Linked DNA regions of Ovis aries. The protein of the gene in region 1 purifies or fractionates together with the protein of each later gene. This does not show direct contact. Links are inferred from orthologs where the notes say so. Each region holds a gene or a part of one and is shown in the gene's direction. Other genes may lie near its edges.

Evidence for each region.
Region 2: the proteins of NOP58 (region 1) and NUFIP1 purify together in Homo sapiens (co-immunoprecipitation; 3 studies listed by BioGRID and IntAct, with this or other methods). This does not show direct contact. The link is inferred for Ovis aries from reciprocal best matches to the Homo sapiens genes NOP58 and NUFIP1.

What each region holds. Positions count from the first base shown.
Region 1 is NC_056055.1:204,588,152-204,591,651, forward strand, and holds part of NOP58 (nucleolar protein 58), read left to right. Parts: intron 1-730; coding exon 731-865; intron 866-1,882; coding exon 1,883-2,028; intron 2,029-2,081; exon of another isoform or gene 2,082-2,163; intron 2,164-2,591; coding exon 2,592-2,718; intron 2,719-2,861; exon of another isoform or gene 2,862-2,945; intron 2,946-3,500. UniProt on the Homo sapiens protein: Required for the biogenesis of box C/D snoRNAs such as U3, U8 and U14 snoRNAs. Part of the small subunit (SSU) processome, first precursor of the small eukaryotic ribosomal subunit.
Region 2 is NC_056063.1:15,532,322-15,535,821, reverse strand, and holds part of NUFIP1 (FMR1-interacting protein NUFIP1), read left to right. Parts: intron 1-89; coding exon 90-188; intron 189-792; coding exon 793-855; intron 856-1,503; coding exon 1,504-1,580; intron 1,581-3,500. UniProt on the Homo sapiens protein: Binds RNA.

The sequences.
Region 1 (3,500 bases):
GTTGAGGAAGAAAAAGACCAGCTAGAAGTTTAGTAAGTAAATTGGGAAATGCAGAATCAAAAATTGGAAAACTAATTATAATTTGACTACTTGGGGATAATAGGAATTACGCTACACTATTAATGTAAGCTGATTGATCTTTTTCCATGAAAAATGATAAAACCTTAAGATACGGGTGTGGGGTTTTTTTTGCTTTATGTATGTAATAAATCATTCGGTGATTTTTGGACATCAAAGTCTCAACAGTTTCCAGTTTTAAACATTTCTTTAAATAGCAATTGTATTTCTAGGTGTGTATGCCCCCCCAAACTGAAAGGAGTTAGTCAGTTACTTAAGCAGCTATGTTCATAGCATCATGATTCAGCTAAAGGGCAGAAACAATCCAGATACCTATTAACAGATGAAGGGATAAACAAAGTGGTATACAATGGAATATTATTTATCCTTACAAGTTCTAATATATGGTACAACATAGATGAATTTTGAAAACACTGTGCTATGGTGAAATAGACTACTTTCAAGAAGACAAATACAGTGTGATTCCCCTTATGAGGTACTTAGAATAGGCAAATTCATAGAGGGGATAAAAGAGAGGCTGGAGTGGTGAGAATGAGGAGTAATTATTTCATGGGTACAGAGTTTCTGTTTGGGATGATGGACTATTTCATCACAAGTGTTTTTTAAAACCCTTTTAAGTTCTTGTTTTCTTTTTTGTTTTAATCTGCTGCAGCCCTGTTAGATGACTTAGATAAAGAACTAAACAACTACATTATGCGGTGTAGAGAATGGTATGGCTGGCATTTCCCTGAGTTAGGAAAAATTATTTCGGATAATTTGACATACTGCAAGTGTTTACAGAAAGTTGGTGAGTAACTTTATCCTTTAAGGTATTGAAAATAGTGATTTATTTAAATCCTAAAACATGAGTTACTGGTTTTTTTATTCTCTTCCCAGAGTTTTTAGTCTTGTGTGTTTGAGGAGTATATCCATATTAACATCTGCTAGATTTCAGAAACAGAATTTTATTTCAGTGGCCTGTACAGTAGAGGACATCGTTCTCTAATTTGGTTTTCCTTGGGCTTCTTTTTTTAAAAAAAATTTGGAGTATAGGTGGCTTAGTGGTGAAGAATCTGTCTGCCAGTGCAAGAAACACAGGAGACCTGGTTTGAATCCCTGGGCAAGGAAGATACCCTGGAGGAGGAAATGGCAACCCAATCTAGTATTCTTGCCTTGGAAATTCCATGGACAGAGGAGCCTGGCAGGCTATAGTCCATAGGGTCACAAAGGATGTGACTAAGCACACACACTCATTGTGTTACTTTTTTCTGTACAGCACAGTGAATCAGTTGTGTATACATCTCCACTCTTTAGACTTTTTCCATGTAGGTCATTCCAGAGTATTGAGTAGTTTTCTGTCCTATGTAGCAGGTTCTTACTAGTAATCTGTTTTATATATCATAGTGTGTATATGTTGGTCCCAATTTATCTGCTCCCCACTCCCCTGAACTGGCTTCTTACAATGATTGTGTCTCACTGAAGTTGCCGTTAATAAGGACAACTGTGTGACTGGGAAGTATCCTGAAATACATTAATAGTGGTTAATATTAAAAATAGTATTGCTATCTATACTCAATATTAAATTGTATACTATTACTATAATAATAATATAGTAGAGGAACCTGAGGACTGTTCATAAAATGAGTTAATCTCTAAAATCAAGCCCTTACATGAGTAAAGTTACTTGGTCAAACTTGTTTACTTTTTGTTTTGTTCAGGCATCCCTTTCATTGGCTTATCTCTACTTTTTCTTTTGACTGTTTGGTGGATTTTATATAATTTACTGAAGAGTGATTCTCCCTCATCCTTTGCAAACATTCCATAGGCGACAGGAAGAATTATGCCTCAGCTCAACTTTCTGAATTACTGCCAGAGGAGGTTGAAGCTGAAGTGAAAGCGGCAGCAGAGATATCTATGGGAACCGAAGTTTCGGAAGAAGATATTTGCAACATTCTGCACCTTTGCACTCAGGTACACTATGCACATAGGGAAATTCGTGGTGGTGGTACCAGCTCTGTAATTTCTGATGGCAGTGATGATTTTTAAATGTATTGTTCACCTGATAAATATGAGGGTGTTCAGTCACTACCTCATCTGATGCCGTCTTGACTTACAAACTTGCAGGGAGAAAAATATCTTAAAATGAGGTTAAAGGAGTACTGTCTAGTTAATTTCTATTGTTAGCAGTATCTGAATGTGTATAGCCTGTAATTTTTACCCCTCATTTGAAGATAGCTATATGACAATCACAGAGGATGACACAAATGTCTAGTCTTTAGAGTTTTTTTAAACAAATGTTGATTAACATTTTTAAGCAGTGTATTAGGTTTACATATATTGCTTAATTTTTAAATATTAAAATTTCACAACAGCCGTTTTATAGAAAACTGAGGTAAAGGATGGCTAATTTTCCTGGGATTGTACAACTAACTGCTCTGTGATAATTTGGGGCTCTGATGTTTTAGACATGTGAATTTTACACTGCTTTTACTCTTAAACTATTTATGATTTACTCATTTTGTTTCTTAAACTAGGTGATTGAAATCTCTGAATATAGAACCCAGCTTTATGAATATCTGCAAAATCGAATGATGGCCATTGCACCCAATGTTACAGTCATGGTTGGGGAATTAGTTGGAGCACGACTTATTGCTCATGCAGGTGATGATTTTAATATAATTTGTAAACATGGGTATTGAGAGTTGTTTTCTAGGTAGGATCTTATTTTCTTTTAAACTGGAGTTTAAAGATAAATCTGGGTAATAAAAAGAAGTGAATGTTTATGTGCGAGGACTAAGGACCAAGTGTTCAATGATGATTTTTATTTGTATGCCTGATTTCCTTTCGGATAGTGAAGGCATCTTTAGTCACTACCTCTTCTGAGACACTGGTGGTCCATTGTCAGAAGTTTGTTTTGGTTAATTAGAGTAATTGGATGAATACAGGAGGATGAAATCAGGTTTACCTCATTTTACTGTGCTTCACAGATACTTCGTTTTTTAAATTCATAGTTTGTGTCAGCCCTGTGTAGAACAAGTCCATTGACATCATTTTTCCAACACCACAGTCTGTCGCATTTTGGTGATTCCCACAATATTTCTAACTTTTCCATTCTTATATTTGTAATGTTGGTCTTTGGTCAGTGATCTTTGATGTTACTACTACAACTTCCTGAAGGTTCAGATGATGTTTAACATGTTTTTAAAAGTAAAGCATTTATAAATTGAGGTATGTACATTGTTTTTCCAGACAATGCTATTTCATACTAAGTAGATTACCCATAAGAATATAACTTAAAAAAAAAAAAAAGAATATAACTTCAATAAGCACTGGGAAACAAGAATTCGTATACTTAGTTTATTGCAACACTTGCTTTATTGTGGTAATTGGGAATGAAATCCACTATATCTTGATTGTGCAGGTATATACTATTGATTGAGAAT
Region 2 (3,500 bases), on another chromosome or scaffold:
AAGAGTATGTGAAAAATCAAAGCCTACATATTTTTACTGCTGATTGAGTTCTCAGCCAAAGCCTAATGCTTCTTCATTTTTATTTGCAGAAAAGAAAGGAACCCGTTTTTCACTATTTTTGTGATACCTGTGATCGTGGTTTTAAAAATCAAGAAAAGTATGATAAACACATGTCCGAACATACGAAAGTAGGTTTCTTGGTTATCCTGATTTTATTTAGCAAAATGGGTGTATTTGGTAGAAATTCTGAGCTTTCTTCCTGTAAAAGTGTAGAGTTATCATAGGAATGTTGTTTGAAGACAAGTTGAGACAGTAACCCTGGGATTTGCAGTTTGAGGATGGGGAGCTTCCACTTCAGGAGTCGGTGAGATGGCAGCAGAGGAGAAGGGAGGGCTGGCAGCTGTTGAGAAGTAAAAAAAGCTAGGAAGTTCTTAGTTAGGTAAGTGCTCTTCAGTTTGTAGGAGTCATGCTTGACTTTAGGAAATAAGAGCATTTTACAACATTGCTGATGTCCTGCGTTCACTCAAATGGAGAAGTGAATGCTATGTATTATTGTACTATATACCTTTAGAGGGCAACTTGGTTTTGGAGTGAGTTTTGTCTTGCTATTGACTGAACTGAACTGAACTGATTGTTGTAAGTATTCACAGATAATACCACATAGACAGGATACTAGGTAATAATGCCAGAATATGTCTGTATGTATAGTAGAAGGGTATGTTTTTTATGGGAAATGTTGAATTGAATCTTTTTTTTTTCCTTAAAAAAAAACAAAAACAAAACTATGTGCAGTGCCCTGAGGTAGATTGCTCTTTTAGTGCACATGAGAAGATTGTCCAGTTCCATTGGAGGAATGTAAGTTGTTTTTTTTTTTTTTTGATACACGCTCTTTTTATTTCATTGATCTGTTATCTTCATAGCACTTTATCTACATAGCCTAATAATAAGCAACATTCATGAGCCTTTGTACTTGATAAGGCATTTTTGTAATCCATTATTCAGTGTCATGATCCACTGTGGACTAGATAAATCTTGGCCCTGTTTAAAAGATTTATAAAATGATTTGCCCAGGGCCTCAGAACTCATTCTTGCACTTGGGTTTCTTAGCTGCAAATTCTGTGCTTGTTTTACTAAACTGTGCTGTTTCAGATTGTTTTGTGTACTCATCATTTCTCTAGCTAACTCCCTCAACTATAGTCGGTCAGTCATATGAGTATCTAATATTACTCAAGAAATTGATGACATTTGCTTTACAACCAAGATTATATCATGGCTTGCTTTTCTTTTTAATCAATAGCACTAAAGACATGAAAAAAATTACTCTCTTTTCTTTAAAGGAAAAGTCATAATAAGGATAGAGAAAATCTGCTTGCTTAGTTTAAAAATTCTCTGCTAGTAAATGTACTGTTGGGTACAGCGTTTTCATTATCTCCTATAATTCTTGAGATTTAGTCAAAAACATACAGTATGCTTCCTGATATTCAGCAGGCCTTTTCCCCTTAGATGCATGCTCCTGGTATGAAGAAAATCAAGTTAGACACTCCAGAGGAGATTGCAAGATGGAGGGAAGAAAGAAGAAAGTGAGTAAAGAGTTCAGAACTTGTGCAGCAACTTTGTTTTACCCTGGCAGGGCTGAGTACTTCAAAATAAAGACCATCTGGCCCTAAGGAACAATTTGAAAAAGGAAATTTGGTCTTTTATAACATTGTAGATGTTCAGCTCAAAATGCAATGGCACCCCACTCTAGTACTCTTGCCTGGAAAATCCCATGGATGGAGGAGCTTGGTGGGCTGCAGTCCATGGGGTCGCTGAGGTTTGGACACGACTCAGTGACTTCACTTTCACTTTTCACTTTCATGCATTGGAGAAGGAAATGGCAACCCACTCCAGTGTTCTTGCCTGGAGAATCCCAGGGATGGCGGAGCCTGGTGGGCTGCCGTCTATGGGGTCGCACAGAGTCGGACACGACTGAAGTGACTTAGCAGCAGCAGCAGCTCAAAATGGCCAGTCCTAACTTTTGTTGTTATTCTTCAGAATTGGCTTACAGTGACTTTGAGAGTATTGTTACTTGATGTATGATAATCACACAATTTTTATTGTAGTTTTGATTCATTGCATTCCCTTATAATCTTGCTGCTAGGAAATGGGACTGTCAACTGTATCATATGAGGCTATTATGAAATGTAGCTTTTGGTAGACCTAATAGAAACTCTTGATAAATAACTGATGTCATAATGGGACTTTGCTCTTTGAGGGGAGTCACTATGTGCCCCCTCAGTTTGATGTTCAATACAAGGGAGTGATGGGTGGTGCTATTTAAAAAAAAAAAAAAGGCGTAATATTTTGCTATGTTTATTGTTTTGATTATTGTTTAAAAAGTTGTTGAATGCTTGCAGTATGCTAGGCAGAGGGAGTATAGTGACAGAATAATACAAATGCCTGTCCTCATTTATAAAAAGACAGGGGACTTCCCTGGCAGTCCAGTAGTTAAGATTCCACGATCCCAATGCAGGCGTCATGGGTTCGATCCTGTTTGGGGAACTAAGATCCGGCATGCCACGTGGCATGGCCTTAAAAAAAAAAAAAAAAAGCAAAGACAAGAAATATTTTCCTGTAATTAAAGTCTTAAGAAATTTGAGCCTTACCATGATGACCTATAGTTTTATGCTTACCAGGGAGGAAAGCTTAGTAGGAATCTAATCAGAAATGGCAACCCACTCCAGTATTCTTGCCTGGAGAATCCCATGGACAGAGGAGACGGGCTGGCTACGGTTCATGGGGTCGCAAAGGGTTGGACATGACTGAAGCAACTTAACCACCATCTCCATCCGGAATCTACCAGTGAAAAATCCCATGAAGATGCTATTATATTGTCTTCTCAGGAAGGACCAGGATACCTCATCCTGAAGCACAAGACCAAATCAGAACTATTAGGGGGTGATCAGCTGTACTTTTAGGTCAATAGCTGTTTTTCTGAAATTAAAAAATGAGAGCTTGAGATAGAAGGTTGTTCTTTACTGCTGTTTAGTTGCTAAGTCGTGTCCACCTCTTTTGTGACCCCATGGACTGTAGCCTGCCAGGCTCCTCTGTCCATGGGATTCTCCAGGCAAGAATACTGGAGTGGGTTGCCATTTCCTTCTCCAGGGATCTTCCCGACCCAGGGCTTGAACCTGCGTCTGCTGCATCCCCTGCACTCTTTACCGCCGAGCCACCAGGGAACCCCTAGTTAGGAAGAGTTATCCTCAAAGGTCAAGATGCTTAAAACCTTGACCAGCTGATACAGCTTGCTCTTAGTTCAGCTTAAAGTTTTCAACTTTAATCCACTGTGCGTATGCCTATGTAGTGCTATGTCAGATGTTACACTGTTATGTGAAAAAGTGAGTTACTGCCCTTCAAAGCTTTACAGGTAATTCTGAGGAAAACCAGCAAAAAGATTTAGGACCAACTGAGAACAAATAGCTTTCAGTAAACGCATGTATGCTGCTGCTGCTACTGCTAAG